Schizosaccharomyces pombe: one gene and its partner. The protein of the gene in region 2 interacts with the protein of the main gene of each other region in a biochemical or structural test. Each region holds a gene or a part of one and is shown on either strand. Other genes may lie near its edges.

Region 1 (4,427 bases), on a different chromosome or scaffold from region 2:
ATCAACATCCAAGCTTTTGCCCTAAGTGAATATTCATCAGGAATTCCTTGAATACAAAGCGAGCATAAACCAGGGAGAGAAATTGGCTCTTCCGAATTTAAAATGTCTTTAAATTTTTCAATGCGTTGCTTATAGTCCATAATAAACTAGAAGCGATTCAAATAAGATATTATGTAGTTTGACTATATCCAATTTAGTTATATTATCATATATAAAATATTACTGTTGAAAATTAAATATATGAAGAAAAGGAGAGCGCAATTGGTGTGTTCAGTAGCCTGTTTCACACGTGGATGATGGAACTAAGTTAGCTACTAAAATTGAATGCAAGTTTAAGAACCGACTAAATTTTCTGACTTATTTTTTATACTAATTTCCTTCTTAACAATACTTCCCTAATCAAATACTGTAGGAAAGTACAGAGTAATGAACGTCCTTAGTAGATGTACAGTATAGGTAAGATTGATGTAGGTGCAACATACAGACCAGGAAAGAAATATTTGGTTTAAACAGCACCTAGAACGAGCAATTAATAATAATTGGATATTTATTAAATAAATGCACCGTTTTCTAATGTATGTATGTGAGAAATTAGCCTTGAGATTGGCTCCAGTTTTGATTCTATCTATAATACAAATAAAAGAAGAAAGAGTGGATATGCAATTTATATTAGGTTGTATATCGAACTGTTATGATGTATAAATATACGAAAATTGGTAGATAATGTATAACCATAAAAGAAGGCTTAATTAATGGAAATCAAAAGAATTCGGGTTGTATTCATGAAACTGGGGTCATCAATATGAAACTAAATTAATCATGAGAATACAGAAGTGGTTTGGATAAAGGAAACGGCATCAATACATTAGCAATACTCTATCAAAAAAAAAAAAAAAATTATGGAGATTGTTTTTATCAAAAATGAAAGCGCAGATCATGATTTTTGCTCCAAATTCAGTTGATCCATTGCAATTACCAAGTCCTCGCTCATTTGTATCAACTGTTGTCGTTCCTCCCTTTCGACCCGGAGCTCTTCTTGAAGCGCTTGCAGTTGTAAACGAAGTGTTTCCAAATCACCTGTCTGTTGTGATTGTTGTTGCATTAGTAACTTATCACTCTTCGCCATATCAGCTTTAAAATTGTTCAAAAAATCTGACATATCTTGGCGCTCTTGAATGGCTTTCTCCAGCTGTTTTTGGAGAGTCTGATTGTCTGCTTTCAATGCTCGCCTTTCTTCCTCCCAGTTACTGTTGGATATTTTTGGAGCATTAGGAGCAGTACCGATTTGATTTTGAAGCTCCTGTATAGTTGCCTCGTATTTTCGAGCATAATTGGCTTTGAAAGCATTAATTTTCTGAGTGTGCTTGGCTGAGTACTGAGCATGTAAATCTTCAGCAACTTTTTCCATGCGTTCTTGAATTAACTTGTCAACTTCCTCTTGAGTATATTTACCTCTCTGAAGAGCTAATGTCTCTTCATTATGCCCTTCAACAAGTCTCATGTTGGTATCCTTTGTGGAGGGACTAGTCGATGCTTTTCCAGATCTAAGTTGCTGAAGTTGGTCATTAACGGCAATCAATTGTCCCGAAACATTGACGATTGTATTTTGGAGTACGGAAATTTCATGATAAGTGCCAGCAAGTTTGGCTTTGTAGCCCTCTATTTCAGCTTCGTATTTCGCTTGCTGCTTTTGAGTGGAATTAATTGGGTATTGAGTAGGTATATCGGCCTGTGAAGTTGATGGTGTAGCAGAGTTGCGAATGTTGTCTTTCAAATGCACTGGTGGGTTCAACGGCGCCGTATTAGTTTGACGTGGGAAGCTTCCGTTTGAAAGCACTGGGGGCCTAGAACTAGCTGATGTTTGCAAAGATGATGAATGACTGTATGCAAAATTAGATGGAGCGGTATTTAAAGAGCCTCGTTGGGAGGCCGCATTGGACGATGAAAATAAAGAAGGATTCTTCGGCGTCAAAATAGATTCTACATTTCTTTTTCTATGCTTAAATTCTGGCGTTTTATGCTGTGACAAAGGATGGGATATGGGATGCATCGGTCTAGGGGTTCCTGAAAAATCAAAAGATTTATTCAACTCTAAGGCTTGTAGTCGATCGCTTACTCGCTTATTAAGAGTATCCTTTAAATTCAGCTGTGGATTGGGTTTAGAAGTTAACTTAGGGAATAATTTAGGGGCAGGCATGGATTCCTCTGAACTTCGTTGAGCTGGAGGAATCAATGATTCTGAAGAGGCACCTTGCCTTTTTTCATGAAAACCCGTATGATCAGTTTCATTTGTCCCAATACTAGATGAGGAGGGAGACCTCCTACTGTAATCTGTAGAGCTCGAAACGATATCACTCATTTTCGGTTATGACTTTTTAAAATCGTCAAACGATATAAAGAACTAACAGATATATGAAATATAAATACACAAGAAAATCCTTTTTCAAATATTTTACAGCTGGTATTATCGTTTCAAAGTTAACGATCAGTAGCTAACTTTTATTTTTACTTTTTGAAAACTGGTCAGATGTCCGCCTACGTAGAACAATGGTTCAATAACAAACTTGAGTCATACAATGCCCAATAAATAACCCCTTATTGCCCTCAATTCTTCGTCTTGATTCAACACTAGGCGTACAATGGTGGTGTAAATAAAAGGCACATACATACTGGTTTACACTGAGTAAGGAGAGAGTGGGAAGAGTTCACCGAGCTCTCGGTGAATTTTCGGTAGCTTGTTCTCCGAAGCCTTTGTAATAACACCAAAGTATCCTACTGTAAACACTAAACAATTTGCAAGTCAACCTTTGATATTATGTGTGCCAAATTTTAGTATGAAGAAAAATGAAAAGGCAAACGTATGTATATGAAAAGAGGGAAATCGTGATTATCTAATGAATGGCAGATATCGGCCTCATACAATGACCTAATTGCAACAATTTGCAATCCTCGTATCTCTGATGTCGGTACATATCGCATTGAGAGTGTTGTCGGTGAAGGTACGATACTTTTGTGTTATTGTGAACGCTCAATACTGGACGGCTATCTAACAAGCATGGGTTGTAGGCAGCTTTGGAAAAGTTTATTTGGCAGCTCATTTACTGACAAATACAAAGGTATGGGTTATTCAAAGATTACTATGTCTCTAAGTTATAAAAAGAAGAATAAACGGCTCGTAAATTGCGAATATTGACCGTTCCAAAGTCGGTTGATTACATTATGAGAATGATAAACGTTTTATTCATCAATAAATTGATTGTACCTTGCTAACATTTTTATTAAAGGTTGTCCTGAAATCATCTTGCAGGAAACAAGCGATTATCCTTGCTCGAGAAATTCATCATCATCGGCGTCTTCTTCATCCAAACATCACGAGGCTTTATGAAGTAGTATGCACCGAAGACCGAATTTATCTTGCCATGGAGTATTGTCCAAATGGTGAATTGTATGACTGGGTAGCGAGAGAAAAAAGGCTGGATGAAAAGACCACTTGCCGTATCATGTGGCAGCTATGCTGTGCTATTCAGTATTTACATAGACAAGGCTGTGTTCACCGTGACCTTAAACTCGAAAATATTTTTCTAGATAAAGCCTACAATGTTAAGCTTGGAGACTTTGGGTTTTCTAGAGATTCTGATTGTTCCCGTAGAACATTTATGAACACACGTTGTGGTACAGTTGCTTATTGTGCTCCGGAGCTAGTACAGGGCCATAAATATATTGGTGAATGCGTTGATATATGGTCTCTGGGTATAATTATGTACGCTCTCTTAATAGGAAGGCTCCCGTTCGACGAGGACGATGTATCTTTAACTGAGCAAAAAATTATCAATGAATGTCCTCAATATCCTGAAACACTCTCCAAAAACTCTTCAAGCTTGTTGAAATCCCTCCTTTGCAAGGATTACCGACTTCGACCCTCTATCGATCAAATCATCTCTCACCCCTATTTCAAGGAAAATGGATATCATTCATCTTCTATTCGAGACCCAAGGCCTTCCTCGAAAGCAGAGGAAAAAGTTCGTAAAAGGCTTGAATTTGTTGGTGTTGACATGGATCAACTTAATGCCAGCATCTCACAACAGCGCTGTGACATGTTCTATGGATGGTGGCTTTTATTACTAGAAAAAGAAATGCGTAAGGAAAACAAAAAAAAGAAAGGTTTGTTTCATTTACATAAAGGTTCATCTTCGGCTGTACACATAGCTCCAGCAACTCCATCATTAAAAACCGCTCAAGTTTCTGTTATGTCCAACAATCAGGATTCTTTAAAAAGTCGGCATACATCGTCAGATTCAAGTAATTCTTTGCTTTCTACATTTCGTAGTTGGTTATTCGATCCTAAACAAAAGCATACTGCTGATACGTTAAGCTCATCAGCAATTAGACCAAGAACACCTAGTCCTTCGGCTGAAAACTATTTAACT
Region 2 (4,964 bases):
TAGCGGTAATTTATGTATATTTTTAATCATAAATAGTGAATTTTATAGATTTATTGTGTATTACTTAAGTTGCTTACTATGCAGTTTGGTATCTATTTTACAATCATAAATTGCGGTGTGTTTACTGGTAATTTATAAAATCGCGGTATGCAATATGAATAGCAGTCCTATTAATATTAGTTTACGAAGTTTATAGCCAATCATTAATATAGCTTGCAAAATTTTTAACCCGATATCTCTAGGTATCTGTGTGAATAATACGGATAGTCTTTTACAATTATCAATAAACGAATTTGCTAGTATTTTTATGGCAAATAGTGACAGGTAACGTAGCGTCATATAGCGTAAAATACAGTACTTAATCCATTCAATGCTCGTAAAGAAGCAACTGTGAAATAGATTGAGACGGCTGTACTTTGATTAGAGTTATTTTCTTCATCTGGTTTATTAAAGTAATATTTTTACGTTTTAGAAATTAAACCATCTACTAGAATAAAAAAAGCGATTAGTCCTTTTTAGACACGTTTGATGAAAGAATAAATAAAACCACTATTTTTTTAACTTAATAAATTCTGTCATACTTCAATTCATATTTTGGTAAAAATTTGATCTAGTATTCACAAACACTTTGGGTTTAGGAGATGTTTGGCTCCAAAACTCTTTTTTCTTGGGCAGCTAAGCGTTCAAAAGATTTCTATCGAAAAAAAAGTAAAATCGACAATTTCCGGTCGAGAGCAGCATACAAATTAATAGAGGTACTGTTACCACGTCGATACGATTTTGGATAATAATACTAATTGATAGTTGAATTCCAAATACAGATTTATTAATAAAGAAGATGTGGTGATTGACGTGGTATTAAATTATCTAATTATCATAAGCCTAACGTTTTTAAGGGATTTGCACCTGGATCATGGTCGCAAGTAGCAAAAAAGTTAGTTGGAAATAAAGGGAAAGTAATAGGCATTGATATTCAGCACATAGCTCCACCAGAAGGGGTATTACCCATCTACGGTGATATTCGTGATCCAAACACCCTGACTAAACTATTCGAGGCTTTACGGCTACTACATGAGCCTAATACGAATGATAGCATTGATTGTCGGGTGGTCGACGCTGTTATAAGTGATATGTAATTAAATACAGGGTCTAAAATATATTTACATCTAACATCCTAGGCTTCATAAGGCTACAGGGATTCGGATCCGGGATCATGCTCTCTCCATGGTAAATACATTTCTTGTAAATTTTCTCTGACCTACTATAGGAACTCTGTGCATCTGCGCTTCATGTTGCATTAACCTTTTTAAAATCAAATGGCTCGTTTATTTGTAAATTTTACATGGGGGATGAAGATGCCGACTTACAAAATTTGTTGAAATCTCACTTTAGGTTCGTCCAAGTGATGAAACCGAAAGCCTCTTTAAAAGAGTCACGGGAAGCGTATTTTGTTTGCTTGGAACGCAAGCCCTAAAATGTGTCAATTTTCGTTGTGAAAGGAGAACATTAATTGAAAATATTTAATATACCAAAAGGAGTCTAAAGATACTGTTGCATTAATTCCGTATTATAAAAGTTGTCAGATGAAGCGTAAACTAAAGAACAATCGCCTGCGATAGGTTTTAGGTTAAGCACTAAAGTGCCTCCTCAAGAAGTATGGTTTTTTAGTCGCTCCTGCATTTTTTCCCTTAATTTTGCAAGCGCATCCTTCGTTTCAGCAACGCCATCTCTTGTATGCTTCAGTCCTTCATGAACTGGGATATGGGAGCGCCTGAGCCCAGGAGACGAAACAGGGGGTGATGCAGCTGAATTAGAAAGGGAAGGGTGTTTATTTGCAAGTTGGTTCCACCTTGCCTTTGGAATTGGTGTAAGTTGTTCCAACGTAGCGGTATCGGCCTGTAAAGACTGGTTCTCCGACAACACATTTACTTTACTTTCATCGACACTAGCTGACTCATTGTCTTTCAAAGGCGTCGCTTTTGTAAATTTCATAGGTGATTGTATCGTTTGTGTATTGTGATAACTTTCAAATGAGGAACTAGTAGTTGCTGCATCTTTTCTAGCTCTGATAGAAAAAGGCGAATTTGAATATTCTTTCCTCCCTAGATTAGTCGGTTGACTCTCTGTCACTTTAAAATGACTTTGCAAATTATTATCAAGATAGAGATCATTTGAAGTAACTTTATCAATATTAGATGAGCTTTTTATAGTCAAATTATCAGCCTTTCCAGATGATTTGGGACTTCGAAGATTCAATAAATTTTGATTTTCTTCAGCTTCATTCAATTTTAAATTATTATTGGAGTTGAGAAAGGAAGTCCGGTTTAGTTCGTTAATTAACAGAGGTTCTTCCAAGGTATCCGAACTTTCTTCATGGATATCATCTGAATCTTCTAAGTTTTGAATTAAACCCCTTTCAGTGTTCATTGAAGCTCCTGGGTATGCATGATCGGTTTTTTTATTACTATTCGGACTATTCGACTGTCTCCCCCAATTCTTTTTTGCTCTTGCTGAACTTGAAACAAAAGACCGGTGCTGTTGGACTGGACTTTTAACGTTAGATGGTGGAGCAAAAGATGGGCTAAGACTAACTGAACGCTCACAATGAGAAATCCTTTCCTGCAGGCTTTGTAAATTTTCTTCAATACTTTTTAAACGCTCAACAAGGATGGAAAATTCAGGGTTCGTAAGCGAAGACTCATCATAACGATTATTGTGCGCTTTATTGTTGCTATCTTTCGAAATCGCTTTTAAGTTTGCTTCAAGGGAATTGAAATGAGAATCAGATAAGCTAGTAACACCTTCTAGCGATCTAGGAGCCGAATGAGATTTCGCGTCAGATTTTGGAGGTACAAATCGAAATCGCGGAGGGGGAGCGCTTGCAGGTGTTAAGTATGCCATGTCAAAAGAGTGATCTTGATTTAAATCTACCAATGGCTTAATTCGATCCTCATCTGAGATACGAATTTTAGATGCACTTAAGTGAGTAAAATTTTGTGATTGTGTACCAGCATTAGGTATTGACTCTTCATCTTTTTTTTGATCATTTAAAATATTTTTTCTTCGCTTAGGTGATAGGGAAGGCTCCTTCGATGGCCGTCGCTTTCGCTTTGAGGGTGAGTGATTCTTAACCACTGACTCACTAATTTGACCTTGTTGGCTTCGCTCCCATTCCAAATAATCGTTTTTTGTATCATTCCATAATTTCTTTAATTTTCCCAGCAGTCCAGCTGCAGGATTGAAACTCATCTCATGCCCAAATTATTTGGTGATTTAAATTCTAAATTCTTTGCAAACTGACTTCAATAATTATAGGAGTTACAAGATCGTGATTAACAATAATTTGCAACCAAAGGGTTATTAAACCTCAGGAAACTTGACAAAATTACGATCTTACCGAGCTCTACAGTACGGTCGTGAGTATTACCTAGTACACGTTAATGGCTTAATGCTTATTATGTAGTCTGTAATTAGCTTTAATGATACGTTAAATCACCAACAATCATCACTTATGTTGCTGTGAGCTCGATTATTAATTAAGTTGGTACGTGAAGTTAACCTTCTAACTTACTACTGAAGCTGCTCATAACTCAACCTCTTCCTCAGTCCAGTTGAGTTCTGTAGTGTTTTAATTTCCCGAAAACAAAAAAATTTTCCAATATCATTAAATAGGATGTTGAGAAAAAGAATATGTGCCACATATAAATATCATTGTTGAATTGCTGACTTGACAATTAATGCTAGGCCTACGATGCAATAGTAATCTAACCGTAAACATAATTTTACGAACGATTAGTATGTAATTACTGGACTTTTAGAAGAATTCTGAATATTCGCACATAAAAAATATTATTCGACAGATTCCATCGTTTCACATGAGTTTACATGAAATGCGCTCATTATCAAATTTGATGTGATGAACATTAATTAGATAAAAATGGTTTCATTGTTAGTTGAATGCGTTTGTTCCGAGTTTCTCCTTAACAATATACAGTTAATGATCTTATTGTTGTTGCTGTTGAAGTACACAGCACTTAAGTACAACTTTTGAGTGCTCTAAACTTTAGCGTGACCAGCAAAAGAGAGGTCAATACACTTAAAACCAAAAACGACTTTATTCGAATTCACTAAAAGGATTTTTTAGATTCTTGGTCCAGTACAGTGAAACGTAAAATCTGAAATATTCAAGGATTCGTGAAGATTTGGAAGCAAATAGTTTTTAATCTCATTAAATATATATTTTATTTTTTAAAAAGATTACAGATTATAGAAGCATAGTTTTACGAAATTGAAAGTTAGCATTTTCGCAACTCGTTGTTGGTATTGATAGTTAGTATCATTAGGTATGTGAGTACGTTAAAACCGATCTATCTCTAACTATTTGGGGAGATAATCAAACTGAAATACGTTTCTTAAGCTTAAGTAGCTTTGTTTGATTTATTAAGCAAATAAATATGCCAACTGTTGGTCTTACAGGGCCATTATGTAGTGGAAAAGATGCCGTTGTTGAATACCTTGAGACAAAGCATGGTTTCAATGCTATTTTTCGATTACCACAACTAAACGAGGATGGAGAATATATATATAGAACTGGCGATTTAGTCCTTGGCAGCGTTGACGATCTTATTAGCTATCTCACTCCAAGATGGCGCGAAAGATTTGTAATTAATGGAATTCATAGTCCACGTTTGTTAAGTGCATTGCTCAAACGTCCGTTCTTTTTGCTTGTATATATTGATGCCCCAATTATGCTCAGGTTCAATCGCTACAAAACGTATGTAATATTGCAATGTCAACATGTTGTTGCTAACTTTAAATTCATTGTCATTATTCTTCACGCAATGTGTTCAGTGTAAGGACCTTAATATCTTGTTAGTTTCATTCATTTCATGCTCGAAATTACACGGTTACATAAGCTCCTCATGATTAACTGAATATTGCGTGAAATAATAATGATGACATAT

What was found.
Region 1: the proteins of csi1 (region 2) and alp7 form a complex in vitro, tested with the Schizosaccharomyces pombe proteins (one study listed by BioGRID).

The regions. Positions count from the first base shown.
Region 1 is NC_003424.3:5,001,837-5,006,263, forward strand, and holds alp7 (kinetochore-associated protein Alp7), read right to left. Parts: upstream 2,650-4,427; 5' UTR 2,360-2,649; coding exon 935-2,359; 3' UTR 564-934; downstream 1-563. Other genes in the region: tbc13 (GTPase-activating protein), read right to left, coding at 1-140; serine/threonine protein kinase Ppk16, read left to right, coding at 2,835-2,858, 2,906-2,999, 3,067-3,116, 3,285-4,427. UniProt on the Schizosaccharomyces pombe protein: Required for bipolar spindle formation and proper chromosome segregation. Has an indirect role in connecting the kinetochores and the plus end of pole to chromosome microtubules by targeting alp14 to the spindle pole body.
Region 2 is NC_003423.3:3,459,725-3,464,688, reverse strand, and holds csi1 (protein Csi1), read right to left. Parts: upstream 3,352-4,964; 5' UTR 3,250-3,351; coding exon 1,648-3,249; 3' UTR 1,475-1,647; coding exon of another isoform or gene 1,268-1,474; 3' UTR 1,228-1,267; coding exon of another isoform or gene 1,179-1,227; 3' UTR 1,133-1,178; coding exon of another isoform or gene 897-1,132; 3' UTR 856-896; downstream 1-855. Other genes in the region: 2' O-ribose methyltransferase Mrm2, read left to right, coding at 642-755, 805-855, 897-1,132, 1,179-1,227, 1,268-1,474; dcd1 (deoxycytidylate deaminase), read left to right, coding at 4,455-4,774.